Linked DNA regions of Coturnix japonica. The protein of the gene in region 3 purifies or fractionates together with the protein of the main gene of each other region. This does not show direct contact. Links are inferred from orthologs where the notes say so. Each region holds a gene or a part of one and is shown on either strand. Other genes may lie near its edges.

Evidence for each region.
Region 1: the proteins of DGCR8 (region 3) and USP36 purify together in Homo sapiens (affinity purification with western blotting; 3 studies listed by BioGRID, with this or other methods). This does not show direct contact. The link is inferred for Coturnix japonica from reciprocal best matches to the Homo sapiens genes DGCR8 and USP36.
Region 2: the proteins of DGCR8 (region 3) and SRPK2 purify together in Homo sapiens (affinity purification with mass spectrometry; 3 studies listed by BioGRID and IntAct, with this or other methods). This does not show direct contact. The link is inferred for Coturnix japonica from reciprocal best matches to the Homo sapiens genes DGCR8 and SRPK2.

The regions. Positions count from the first base shown.
Region 1 is NC_029533.1:4,605,673-4,609,873, forward strand, and holds part of USP36 (ubiquitin carboxyl-terminal hydrolase 36), read right to left. Parts: coding exon 4,172-4,201; intron 3,788-4,171; coding exon 3,717-3,787; intron 3,641-3,716; coding exon 3,558-3,640; intron 3,305-3,557; coding exon 3,193-3,304; intron 2,959-3,192; coding exon 2,818-2,958; intron 2,744-2,817; coding exon 2,643-2,743; intron 2,498-2,642; coding exon 2,368-2,497; intron 2,244-2,367; coding exon 1,674-2,243; intron 1,209-1,673; coding exon 1,105-1,208; intron 700-1,104; coding exon 256-699; intron 179-255; coding exon 30-178; intron 1-29. UniProt on the Homo sapiens protein: Deubiquitinase essential for the regulation of nucleolar structure and function. Required for cell and organism viability.
Region 2 is NC_029516.1:12,443,397-12,448,436, reverse strand, and holds part of SRPK2 (SRSF protein kinase 2), read left to right. Parts: intron 1-2,621; coding exon 2,622-2,722; intron 2,723-2,822; coding exon 2,823-2,930; intron 2,931-5,040. UniProt on the Homo sapiens protein: Serine/arginine-rich protein-specific kinase which specifically phosphorylates its substrates at serine residues located in regions rich in arginine/serine dipeptides, known as RS domains and is involved in the phosphorylation of SR splicing factors and the regulation of splicing.
Region 3 is NC_029530.1:1,009,790-1,014,829, reverse strand, and holds part of DGCR8 (microprocessor complex subunit DGCR8), read right to left. Parts: coding exon 5,015-5,040; intron 4,584-5,014; coding exon 4,386-4,583; intron 3,817-4,385; coding exon 3,715-3,816; intron 3,344-3,714; coding exon 3,245-3,343; intron 2,784-3,244; coding exon 2,701-2,783; intron 2,426-2,700; coding exon 2,325-2,425; intron 1,872-2,324; coding exon 1,765-1,871; intron 1,560-1,764; coding exon 1,432-1,559; intron 1,026-1,431; coding exon 912-1,025; intron 544-911; coding exon 460-543; 3' UTR 1-459.

The sequences.
Region 1 (4,201 bases), on a different chromosome or scaffold from region 3:
CGGGCACAGTGGGCAGCATGGCATCGTACCTGGGGCACTGATGGCAGCTGGCTGCTCTGAGCTCACGTTGCTCAGACTTTCCCTCTGCTTGCACTTCCGATGCTCACTCTCTCCCTCGCTGGGCTCGGGGCTCTGCTGCCGCTTTGTCCACAAGGGATCTGTGTCAGCTCTCCTGAAGCTAAGGAAGGCAGCAAGCATTAGGACTAGACAATAGGCTCAGTGGGTTGGCAACCCCAAGCACCCCTGGAGCCTCACCTGCCCAAGGGTTGTGCCCCAGAGGAGCGCTCCTCGGTTTCCTGCAGCCTTCTCTTCTTCTTCTTCTTCTTGATGGGAGAAATGGGCTCCATGCTGGGGGAACCACTGGGGTTCCGCTCCTCCCTGCCTGTGCCAGCCACCTCCTTCCCTGGAATAGAGCCCTCTGGAGCGATGTTCCTCCTCTTCCTTGGGGGGCTGCAGCCTTCATCACAGCCATTCACAGCCATAGTGTGCGAGCTGCCTCCCACTTTTGACTGCTGCTGCTTTCGCCGCTTCTTTTTGGTGGTCATAGGGCTGGGTCCGTGCTCCCCACTGAGGGTTGGATGGCGGTGAGAGGAGTGGGTCCCATTGGTTAGGGGGGAGGCTGGGAGCCGGGAGGCTGCGCTGGGGGTGAAGCTGAAGGCTGGTGTGTCAGGGCTGGGCAGGGGGAGAGCAGAGGGCAGCCTGCAGGACAGGAACAGAGGCTGAAACAAGCCAAAAGCTGGACTGAGAGCAGGAACATCCCTTTCCCTCTGTACCCAGGGTGCAGGAGCGCAGCCCACATCTGGCTCCATCCCAAACACAAGCCAAGAAAGCACAACCAGACCCTGCTCCAAGAGCTGCCTGGCCACTGGGCACACACTGCCCATGGGTGCTGCTACAGCACAGGCACAGCAGAGACCTGGAACAACAGGCAGACCTGTCCAGAGCCTCCTGCTGCCAGGAGATGCTAATGCACATCCAGAGCCTGCGCAGTGCCAACAGTCAAAGCCACGGCTGCAGAACCTGGGCTGAGTCCTGCCAGCATCCCAGCAATACCAGCTCCAGGGCTGCCGCTACGCAGGAGGCTGGGGACCCCTCACTGCTTACCTGGGCCTGCCGCAGGGCCAGGGCTGGGCAGTGGCCGTGGGGGAGGCGAGGCCAGCAGGCTGCAGGCGGCCGTCACTTCCGCTCACCCTCCGCGGGGTGCTGCCCTGCAGTTATCGACATAAATAAAAACTTGGTGGTCTAACAGAAAGGGTTCCGTGAGCAGAGAGAAGGAAAATAAAAAGAGGGGAGCCCAGAGAAAGGGGAAAGGGGAACAGACACAGAGGGGGAAGAGGGAAGTGGGGGGGGGGGGGGGGGTAGAAGAAGAATCAGAAGTGTTCTCAGTTAGAAGCACAAAGGAAAAAAGGAAGGAAGGAAATTTAAAGCATGGAAAGCACACGGCGCAGCACGGCTGCCGGCAGGGGCAGCACACAGCTCTCCAGCTGCAGCAGCACCACTGCTGGCTCCCCCCAAAGCACCCACCGTGGGGATGCAAAAACCCACCCAGAATAGCTGGGCTTGGCCCCACAGCTCACCCAGCACGGGGGTTCTCCCAGCCCAGCTCCACGAGCACCACCCGCTGCCCCCTCCCCACATGCACCCGCTGACACAGAGCAGCAGCGTGGGCTCACCTTCTTGGCAGACAGTGCCAGCTTCTTGGCTGGGGGTGGTGACGTGGTGCTGCCCGGCTCCAGCGCAGCGGATTTCAGCTTTGCTAGCCTAGAGCCCTCGGGGAGATCCACGGCACAGTCTGTGTCCTGAGAGGAGTTGAGGCCGCCCGCCCCGCTCTTGGCCTTTGGAGCTGCTTTGGCTGCATCCCCCGCTGCGGTGTGTGTGGGGCTGGGGGCTGCGCTGCTGCAGGAGCTGCGCTGTGGGGTGCTGGGCGAGGTGGGGGACTGCGTGCTGTCCCCAGGGCTCTGCTGGGGTGGATCTGCGGTGCTGGAGCTGCACAGACCCGAAGATGCTTTTGGTGCCAGAGGCTGCTGTGGGGATGGCGGTTTCTTGGGTCTTCGGGCTGTGTCATCACTTGGTGTCACCTGGGCGGCTCTGAGGGGCAGTTTGGGTGATGGGGATCCATTGGGTGGCTTCGGTGGTGCAGAGCCATTGGGCAGCTTTGGCCCCACACCCAGCGTGCTGCGGGACACCGGCACCCCGATCTCCTCCGGCCCCGACAGCTTCCTGCCCGGCAGCACCTCAGGGCTCTAGGCAAGGAGAAACAGTGAGGGTCAGCAATGGGAGGCCCTGGGGACAGAACCATGCTGCCCACATGCCCCAGGCTGCTGTGGGGACCATGGGCACAGCCCCCACATCCCGCCTCAGCCTCACCCGGCCCAGAAGTGGTGCTGGCAGGGGCCCGTTGGTTGTGGTTCTCTTGGTCTGATCAGATACAACAGGTGAATGGCTGGGGGTGGCTTTGGCAATGGGCCCTTCTGAGCCCTTCCTAGGGCCAGGGATCCTGGGGAAAGCAAAGCACACATGTCAGCCAGGAGGGTTGGAGACAGCAAACCCCATAGCATCCATGTCCTTGTGCCAACCACCCAGACTGATGCTGCCAGAATACACAGGAGCTGCTGAAGGGCAGGGAACGCAGGGCACCTCACCTCAGGTAGAACAGCACATAGGCCTGCTGATTGAGGACCACCTTGATGTTGCTGCAGTGCACGAGGGAGTCATTCATCTGGTACCACTGCCCATTGCTGGCCTAGGAGCAGAGCTTGGGGTCAGGCCCTGCCCAGAGCAGCACCAGCACCCCAAGAAGGTGCTACTAGGGCTCACCTTCACATAGCAATAGTAGTGTCCTGCATGGCAGCTGTACCCCGAGTGCACCAGCACTGCATAGAGTCCATACATGACCGGATCACCATTGTTCTGAGACATGTAGGGGCGAATGTTCAGGAACTCAGGGTACCCCACGTCCTGCGGGGAGAGGATGGCTCAGGGGTCTTTACCACTAGAGCAAAAGCAGCTCCAACCACCCTATGATCCCTCTCCAGAGGGCACCCAGCTCAGCCCTGGCTAGGACTGCAGCAAGGAAGGTGCTGACCCTGCAGCACAGCCTGGGGAAGGCTACCGGGCTGCAGCAGACCTTATGCTGCAATGGAACCCTATGAGCCGTGGCACAGCCCCAGCCCTGCACTGCCCAATTCTCACCTTTGTGATTTTGCCTCCACTGAAGTTGGCAAAACGCTTCAATGAGAGCGTGAGGACGTTGGAGGCTCGGTGGATGGTGAAGCGTTTGCTGGCTGGTACCTTCTTCTTGCACCTACACAGAAGAGCTCCAGCTATCCAAGCTGCTCCACAGCCAGGTGACTGCCCTCAGCTGGGACACACCTCATGGAATCCATTGCACTGAATGAAAGCATCAGCTCATGGCCACCATCTGCTGCTGCCCAGGCCTTTCCCTCCCAGCCATACAGCTGGAATGGGGTCGGCTCTATCACAGCCACACGTCCCAGCTGGGGCTGCATCTGTACCACCTTACTTTCCGCTACTCCACACCATGGGACCCCCCTCACCTGGCACACATGTAGGCGTTCTCCCCACTCAGCATGTCTGATTTCACAAACAGCTCCAGCGCCCGCACGATGTTTGCAGCTTGCTGCAAGGACAGGGCAGAGCTCAGGGCATGTGTGACCTGTCCACACTACACCATAACACAGTGCCCACTGACATACCCTGATCTCCAAGGACACATCCAGGAAGGGGTCGTAGGTATCTGAGACACTCTTACACACGGAGCATTTCACTGCAAAAGAAAGAGCAGTGAGTGCACCCTGCTACATCTGCACCTGCCATTCAGCAGCTGCAGCGCTGCCCCTCTATGGGTCTGGGCTCTGGGATGCCAGCACCAACATTTCTGTTGGGCATTTGCAGCTTGGCAGGGAGGAAGGCTGCTGGCATAGCAATTGTTGCTCAACAGCTGCAAGCGTTGGTTCCTTCAATGAGTGACAAAGAGCCAAGGACCCGCAGCCAACAGCTTTCTGTGTTGCCACAACAGGAGCCAAGACCCACAGGCATGGCAGGAGTGGCAAAGCACAGCTTTGGGTGATTTACACATGCTTGGCCATTTTCCCAAATGATTTTTAGTGCAGAGCTGTTGGGGTAACAGCAGCCCAGCAGCAGCACTCACCACGGGACCGCAGGTAGCCACCAAAGATCT
Region 2 (5,040 bases), on a different chromosome or scaffold from region 3:
GGATTTTTGCTATTGAAGTGTTTCACACAGTTTATTATAGAATCTACAAAAGGTAATCTGCAAATATTCAAGGAATATGCAATAAAATACAATTGAGTAGAGAGAGCCCTCCCCTCGCCCACTGGCAGTGCTGTGTACAACTGGCTGTTGCTCAGCTTGCCATCACCAGAACCCCCTCTTCCATTTCACTGCTGGCAATATAGAGGCAGAAGGCCTCTCCTGCTGTTTTCCTGGGGTGGTGTGTAGAATCCTCATGCATCCAGAGCATAAAGCTGGTGTTGTCAGCAAGAGATCAGCTTATCTCCACAGCTGGAGAAACAAGCCTACTTCGTTCCTCTTTGATGTTACCTCATCAGGAGCAATATACAGTTCTTGTGTGCAAAGAAAGTAAAATGACCGTAAATTCAGCCATAGCTCACCGCTTCCTCAGAAGGAGAAAAAGCTGAATGTTGTTCATCTGAATGGCACAATTTAAACAGTGATAAGACAAATTCAACTACATTAGAATGAAGGACGGTATGGCAGTTGCAGGCCATTCAATATTTCAACTGGTGCTGCTTTTTCACTGTATCTTTAGTGCTCATTTCATGTATGGATGCAGACTTTGTTTGCGTGTCTCTCCATGTAGCCATTGCTATACGTTCTTATGTAACATGTTCTCAACTAATGCTGATCTGCATTCAGTGGATGAGCAACTATTTTTTGTCAAGTTTTTACCTTTATTTAATTCTTTGTTGAGTGTATAACTGTGCGACCAGACGCTCTCAGGGACAGATTTATTAATTTCGTCATGACTTTCCTCCTCATTCCAGTGTCTGAATGTTTACTAAGTATATTGTCATGGTGTGACTGTGAGAAGAGGAGGTGATATTTCTCAGTTTTACAAAACTGGGACACACAGAAGTGAAAATTAGAAATGCTCACTAAGTTTGCCCTCAGGTTGAGTATCACAGGGTGCTTTTAAAGAGTTCTTACTAAGAAGTACCGTCTTTTTGACTTCACAGCTAGTTGTGAATTATCGGTGTTAGTCTAAGTCAGAATCTGAGGTGTCTCATTCATCTCAGAAAATAAAGAACACAAGCTCACTGAGCTCATGAGAAAAACATGAAGATGGAGGCACTTGGCTGTTACCTTTGCCTGTTCACTGTGTTAAAGGGAGGTTGCAAAATGCTTCCTAATGTCATTTTCAGATGTCTCACTAACAAAGCCATTTTTTCCTTCTTCATTCTCCTGCTTTATTTACTGCAGTCCTTCACCTTCAACAAGATGCATGAGAAGGATTTATTTCAGCAATAGCAAGGCTACTGAACTGACTCCTGTTATTTCATGAATAGTGCATGGGTTTGTGTTTAAAAAAAATTTGACTGTGCTATGCTGCATGGTCTTAAGGGAAGACTTTAAGTATTTTCTGTCTTTTCAGGGGTAGAAAGCAACCTTAATACTCTCTCAGTGTATTTTACTTTTACACTCTCTGATGGTGCTTTTTTAGAACTTGAGCCTTGCACTCAGTTACAGCTCTTTTAGAGGACTGTTTTGTTGAGGTCACTGCCTGTTCTGTCTTCTGCCATTTAGTGTTTTCTTTTCTTCCCTGGTAAGTTCTGCCATTTTCTTTTCCAGATGGCCATTATTTAGTGCCATGGTTGCTCATTTGCACTTCTTGTCCCAGTACTTCAAGATCTGCATCTTGTTTCAGTCATTTGCAACTCATCCTGCTAGACTTCCTCTCATTTTCCTCCTTGTCTCATGTGCCGTGTGTTTTCTTCTTCTAATATACTTATGCAGGTTTAACTGATCATTATATCCCCTCTGGATTCCCAGATGCCTTTCAGATCTGGTATCTCTTTCATGTCTCACCATCAGTTTCTGGTTGAGTTCTTGTGGCTTTGAGATGAAGAAACTGATGGTCCCTCTGGTGTTATTGTACTTGTGATACTTGGTTCTTTCTTCCACGTTTAAGGCAACCTGCTTTCTTCCCCACACGTGTTAGGAGTCAGCAGGTGGTATGTAAAAATAGCAAGAAAAAAGGAGGAGTCCTCAAGAATTGTATGTTAGAACCTCCAGTGTCTCAGGAGAATATACAGATTGCTGGATTAATTAGATCGCAGTTTTGCAGTTTTACTTTGAATCATGTTTAGTGCAAATAGATCCTTCAGAGAACTTTGATTCAATGTTGAATTATCTGTGAAATGGGTAACAGGCTGCTGGGCTCTGAAATCTGCCAAGTTCTGATCATTCCTTTCCCAGTGGGGCAGATCTGAAAAGAAAAACAACAAAATATCAACAGCCAAACTTCAGGTACCTTAACCAGGAGTGGAAGGGATGGATTCATTTTCTCAATCAAACCATTTAAAGAATGTCTTTTATGTGCAGTTTGAGTTTTAACTTGTTTTGTCATGGAAATATGCTTCATTTTTACGTAGATGCTCTGCCACATATTTTAATAATAGGTATATGGAAGTTTATTAAAAAACGTGCTTAGTATGTGTGAGGATGTTTAGAAATCGAGGTAAGAAATTGAAATCCTGTTTATGTTGCTTTAATTTCTCCTAATGTTCAACAAAGTCACTTGCAGAAAACGAGTAGCATGTTCTGAATACTCTTCTGCCTTTTGTTTGTATTAGCAAAAACTCGTGCTGCTGACTTACTGGTGAATCCACTGGACCCACGAAATGCAGATAAAATTAGAGTTAAAATTGCTGACCTGGGAAATGCCTGCTGGGTGGTAAGTGTAACTACATCAATTCAACTCTCTAGTCTTCTCTGTGTAGAACAGCCCTTTTTATTGCTCATTTTTGCCATTAATGTGATTCTTTCTGTTTTAGCATAAACACTTCACAGAAGACATCCAGACCAGACAATATAGATCCATAGAGGTTTTAATAGGAGCGGGTTACAGTACACCTGCAGATATCTGGAGTACAGCATGTATGGTAAGAACTGTACAGTGTGTATTTTTCAAGAAAAGAATCCTAAAAATAGTTGTTTACTGAGGGAAGGAATCTGACGAGGATAATTCTGATATTTTGACAGAAATGTAACGCTATAGATTATATACCGTCAGACAGCAGCTGATTGTTGTTCCCTTTTACTTCAGTATTTTAATCGTCTTTAATCAACAGGAGGTATTTTGGAGAAATGTTCTGGTTTTCATTTCAGGCATTTAAAATCTGCAGTTAAAAATATGTAAGCTTGAAGGGAAAGATGTGTGTATTTTAAATGTCAAAATCCAATTGAAGTAGTATGACTGTATACTTTGTTCCTGTATTAGACTGTGCAATCCTGCGCTGTTTCCTTTTTCTTGCATAAAATAGTGAAAACCTGAAATACTTTAAATTTTGCCAACTTCAGTGAAAGCGTTTGTCAGAGTAGGTTTGCAGATCGCAGCTTTAGACTCTAATCTTGAAGGGAAGGAATTTATTCTATTAGCAAAGTATGTGGTAATGTTGTGTCGAATTTGTTTTAACACAGTAAAACTGATGTGTGTTTTAAAAGCTTTAAAGTGTAGGAAGGATGAAAGGCTAATTGTTGCACTTTCTGAAACACTGATTCTGTTTGCAGTCTCACTTCCAGGACAAGTAATCTACGTGCATTTTCTCATTAGAGTTGGAAACACGTTTAGAAGTACCTTTGTCTATTTAAAAAGTGAAAACTTATTCGAGTCATTATATTTTACAAATATGTATCTGAAAAGATTAAGTGTGTGATGAGGAGGAGAACACTTAAATACTAGACACAGTTTGCAGGCGTGGGTGATGAGAAGAATTGCAGAACTCGGAGAGGAGGAGGACTGAAAGGAACATAAAATCCTACAGATATTATAAGCTCAGCAAGCCATGTGTTGGAAGTAACTGACTATAAGTAAATCTGCAAGTATGTGTTCTCTGGAGTTCAACACTAGTTTTTCTTTTAGTTGATGGAAAAGAACATCCATTTCTAAATTTACTCTTCCATTTTGAGGCAAAATGTAGAATTTTTCTATTGGATTGAAAACAAAGCATAGAAAATTTTCTACAATTTTGAACCCGAATTCTTTATTTATTCTTCCCATAATTAGCTGTAAGAATACTATAGAAACTTTTCATTCCTTATATCTGATATTTTGCGAACTTCTGTTCTACTTGAAACCTTGTTACAGTACTGAATACTCTATATTACTGTATAGTCTTAAAGGTTGTACTGGTTCAGCCTACATCCTGCTAATTGGCACGTGGTGGGAGTTGCTTTATTGTTCCTTTTAAATAGAGAAAACCCCTTTTGAAGGGTGGGATCTGAGGCACAATGTATGAGTTCTTATATTGCAAGATCTTTTACCTGCATTTAAGTTATTTGTAGCAACTAGATGGGTTTTGAAAACACTGTATGGTATAAGGGGACATGAAGAATGTGCAAAGAAATACTGGGCTCATCCTGCCCCTTACACTTGCCATCATTTTCATGTCACATACGCTCTGTTGCTTTCTTCATGTAAATCCCTTTTAAAGCCCAAGAAAACAAACTCAAAACTTAAAGAATCCCTCCTGCTGATGGTGTCTTAATTCAGATTCATGATTACTTATGAAATTTAATTATTTTCATCTGAAAAAAAATATGTTTTATTAAAATTATTTATTTAAATATAGTAAAGCATGTGAGGCAGAAATAATAGAGTTCCCTTTTGTCTTCGGCCACAGACATGGTATTTTTGCCCTTAAAAACACTAGAAATACTGAAATCTTACAGCACTGACGTGCAGCGGTTGAATGCGGTTGTCTTCACTGTACAAATGCAGTCATGTAAAAGATAGAGATCGCCTCAAAAATTAGAGTTTGAAAACTCCTCAGGATCTGCTTTAATTCCTGTGTGATTAGGAAGTGGGTCATGGCAGTGGAAGTGCTCCCTGTAGCAGAGGGAGTACTGCTCTGAGGTAGGTATTAACTGTGCAGACCTTAATAGCCTTTCTGCAGAGGGTTTTTGACAGAGATTAACAGCCAGAGAAACATGACTGGTGTTAACTTATCTAGGCCATTTTTGGAAGTCATGATTTGATTCTCTCTAGTCCCT
Region 3 (5,040 bases):
CCAAAAGTTTTAGGCATGTTCATACAAGACACGTACATATATTTCTTGTATATATACATATATGTGTGTTTAGGATCAGCTTTAACCTGTACATAGATATTCTGAATTTCATCCTTAAAACGCATCCATTTCAAACAACATGGATGACTTTCAAGGAAAAAGTGCTTGCTTGACCGTGTCCTGTGTGAACATGCCTGTCCTGCGCATCTTCCCCAAGCAGAGATCTCAATGGTCAGACTTTGACATGCACATCGTTATCTCAGAGGTATGAAAAAAAAAAAAGGAAAAAAAAAAAAAGGAAAGTAATATTGCCCTGATGATGCACAAAGAACAATGCATAACTGAAGCAGCTTGGACTTTAAGAGTGAACTTGCATTCTGCAGCAAGCAGATCCAAAATAGTTGTTGGAAATCTGGCTCCTCCGTTTGTGTTATTGCTCCCTACTCGGAAATCCTCCCTTTAGACATCAACAGTGCAGAGCGGTTCGCTGCCAGGCTGAGCAGATTCCACAATCGTCATCTTGGGCTTCTTCCGTGTTTCCTCCTTAGGAAAACAAACACAAAACAGCTTGGAACGAAGCCCGCCTTGTGCTCACAGAAAGAACATCACAGTGAGAAAATCACAGTGAGAAAATAACTGCACAACCACAGCCAAATCGGTGTCAGTCTCTTTGAAGGTTAATTGGTTCTAACATCAAATGTCAATTGACCAAAGCAAAATTAAGTAATAAATCCACTTAAAAGGGAGGACAAAAATCCCTCTCAAAGCAGTTCTACTGAAAAACAAGTTCTGAACAACTCCTCCTACGAGATACTGCAGGAAACAAGCACAGACTACAATTAGTGAGCCTTGTTTGTAAACCACGTACCACAGAAGAGAAACAAAGTCCATCAGGAGCAGCAGATACTCACTCTTTCTTGTGCCAGTTTCTTCATTTCTTCCTGCAGCTTGTTCAGGATGTGCAGATTTGGCTTGTTCTTTTTGGCATACTGCTGGAGCTCAATCACACTTTTATCAGAGGTCTCCTGTTGAACAAGACCATAGGCAACAACACACGAGCTGTTATGGTTTAGAAATACACACACACAAGAAGTTCTCTCTGACAGCAACATTTCCTTAAGTAATAAGACAGATGCACATGAGCTAGTTTCACATTACATAGGTGGGATGGTTTCTGTCTGGCAAATACAAGATTAACAGAAGTGCCAATGAAAGCATCACACTGGCAAGAGCAAAGTGTGAGAATCACCAGTTCAGAAGAACTGAGATTTGCTCACCAAACGCACACTGCCCTGCGCACAACGGAGAGAAAAAGATGATGCTGAGATGGATGCCACCACAGGTTTTTTTCTTATCACATTAAAAACCAATAACGAGACACAGAAAAATACAGTCACAATGTAGATCACAATTAAAGGAAATCATCTTTACCTGTTTGACCATCTTGCTACTCTCTCTACCATACATACGCAAAAGAGAGCCCCAGTTCTTCACGTGTGGATGCAGAAGCTGCAGGATTTTCTGTGATGCCAGTTGTTTGCCCACTCGTTTATTTTTGCCTGTAAAAATAACCATGAAAACGTCACAGCTGTACTTTGCACAGTTGGACACCAAGCTGACTTGTGCTATTCAAAGCTGAGACAACAGAAAAGAGTAGAGTAAGAATAAAACAAGTTAAGTAACTGAACAAACACCTGCAAAATGGATAACAGAGGACAGGAAGAAAAGGAAGATATCAGAGGTCACACTAAGTGCTGTACTTACACCAGCCTCGCACTGTGTGCTTGCCACAAGTCATGACATATTCACTCTTCTGATTTTTACCAGGAATCACTTCAAATTTTATGGATGTGTCACCCATTCCGTGGTTTCTTGAGCACAATGAATAAATAAACCAACATCACATGCTAAGTACAATTGCAAATAAACAAATAATAACAGTTGTTTTTGTCAGTAACTGCTGCAGAGTCAGATGCAGCGATAATAAATTTTAGGACATCGGTTAATAGGGAGTTATTTCTTAGATCAGTGACTTGAATTGAATGAGAACGGCCCCACATAAAGGAAAAACAATTCTATGCCTCACGATTATATCCTAAGCTGAGAATTTTCTTCAGAAAGCAAACCCACAAGATATTAGTTAATGAAAGACTCGCTATGAACCAGTTCAGTCCACGCCACCTCTTACAGGCAGCGAGTGCAGTAGGCTCAGGCAGCCTGCAAGTGTCCTTCAGTTACTGAGGAACACTGGGCAGCAGCATGCAGCAAACCCTGTGCCCTGACTGAGACGTGCACAAAACAGAACCCGCATGCTGCAGCCTTACCTTTTAAGGCACTCATGGAGAATCTGATATGGAGACAAGAGCCCAGCTTTGCTGGTCAGTTCATATACCCGTGAGTCCTCAATACTGATATGGTTAAAATACTACAAAGAAATTGAAGAGAGATATAAAAGTTTTTGTGCAAATCTAACTCAAATACTGTTCTAAACGGTCATCTCTCCTGCGTAACATTAAACACTGTTACTCTGCACCAAAAAGTATTCTTAAGTGAAAAAAAGTCTTTATCAAAATCATTAAAATTGCCATCCAACTGAGAAAACGGGGCTGGGGACTTTTAGTAATTTTTTCCACACTGGAAACATGATTATTTAAAAACTGAGACTGCAGTAACCACAGCCATGGGGCAAGAGGTCGGTACCTCAAGTTCTTCACTGTCTTTGGGCTTCTCTTCAGAGGTTTGCTTAACAAAGTCAGGAATAAGGATTTCCAGTGTAGCTCGAGCTGCAGAAAATGATTTAATGTCGCAATTAGCTTTATTTTAAATGACAACTGAAAACAGTAGCAGAACACTTCACAACTATTAAACTGCACTAAGAAACTGCTTCTTGAAATGCTTATAGAAGCATTGTCAAATCAAGCAATGTCCCCATCCTTCCAGCTCTAAGGGTTCTATGATTCTAAGTATAAAGTTAGAAAAAGCTCAGCACATACACACTGGTGAGATAACTGGAAGCAGATGGTTTTTTACAGCTTATCAGCACAGATCAGAAATCAACTTCAAGCTTCCTCCTGCTTTTCTGTCCCAGTACAGGTGGGAGCTCTCTACAGCAGTACTTTTAATAAGACTACATGGTGCATGTTTTGTAAATGATGAACAAAATTATTCCTACTTACTATTGCAAATACAGTCATCTTCAAAACAGAAAGGAAAACAGAACAATTAAGAAGGGAAGAAACATTACCAGCTTTATTCTTGGCAAGCTTTTTGCTGCTGGCAGTTCCTGCCCCGTAAGTTACTCCATCAATAATCACGGAGGCTCCAAAAGGCTCACTTGGGTTCTCTGAAAATGGAGAGGAGAAAAGGAAACCTTTCCAGCAGTCCCCATGTATAACAGTCACATACAGAAAACAAACATCGCTATTATCAGTATTTGCTTTCCTCATTGCAGCTTCAAGTAAGGTGGATATTGAGTGCTCTTCAGACAGACTGACTACTCCAGCACACAAAGTCCTAATGGTCTCCACTAACACACACTTCCCACCACATGCACTTCATTCTTCCAAGTAGAGAATTTCTCCATTTTAAGAGATTGTTTAAGATCCGACAGAATTCAAACATTAATTCCAAAGGCTTTTTCCTTCACTACGACAGTGCAAATACAATATGCCAATGTTAAAAACTGTGCTCCATTTGAAACCAGGACAGACTTACCACATTCAAAGAAATTGTAAACAGGGCGAACCTTTAGGACTCGTTGCATATATTCATGTAGTATGCAAACTTCAGATTTCCCATTGGGATTAATGACAAATTCTACAAAAAAGAGAAGATGGCAGCTAGTTTTGGTCTTAGAGAGAAAACTGCTATGAAAAACGAAGTATTTAGTGGCAAAATGCAAGGAAGAATTGCTGCTCAAATTACAAGCGATGCGTTTTAAGGCTGCCTGCAGTAATTAACGCACATCGTGTCCCACTCATCGACGTGTTTCAAGAACAGAAGCAAGAGCTCTCACTTTGAGCTCATCATTAATTTCAACTGACAAAACACTTCACTTTTACACCTGGTTCCTCACTTGACAGTTTAGAAAACTGACTCCAGCAGATCACCTTCTAAGGACCCTTCTGTACCACCTTTTACAATTTCTATTAACCAGCTTATATCCAGTTTTCACTAACAGGCATAGAAAGAAGCTGGTTTTATAACATAAGGGTGAACTATTAAGTATGTACAGAATACCTCAAAAACACAAGCTTTGGAAACAAAGCAAAAACCCACTAAAGCAATTAATGAACAATCACTGTTTGAAATTCAGCCACAACTTTCACATAGGAGGAAATGGTCAATTAATAAAATAAGTTTAATCTCTCAGTACATGAACTAACCTTTCTTTGTAGGTGCATCTTGCACAGACAAGGTAATGAGTTTCTGGTTGGCAGGCAGAATAGGCCGCTCAGACTCCGCCTGCTTTCGCTTCATCTCACGATTGAACTGCCGTCTCTCAGCCCAGGTTCTGAATTTTTTTACAGTAACTTGTTCAAAGTCAAAACGTTTCTCAAGGTAGCGTCTAAAATCTTCCAGATCTAAGAAGCAAGCAGGTTACTATAGCTGACTATACAGCAAAAATACTTCATGCAAAAAGACGCACAAAGAATACACGGCAATAACAGCTCAGATTGATAGAACTGATTCTTAGACTGATATTCAACTTTACTGGATGAAATACCCCAAATTTCCCACATTCCTGTGTGTAAAGTTTGCACATCAACTCCCAGATGACTCCAGCAGGAGTTCCTAGTCTATGTTTCCCTTCCCGTTACAATCAAAACTCATGTTTAAAGCTGGTTCTATTTTTTCAGATCTCTGCATAAGAAAAAATAGCGCAGAAAGACAACTTACCAAATGATCCCAGGCAGGGGATGACTCAGCTGTCACGCCAGGAATAACAGAAAAACATAACAAATGCCACTAACCCAGCTCCAGCCAAGAGAAAAGTCCCTGTCCCCATACCTACCTACAGATTCATCTTTACATACTTCA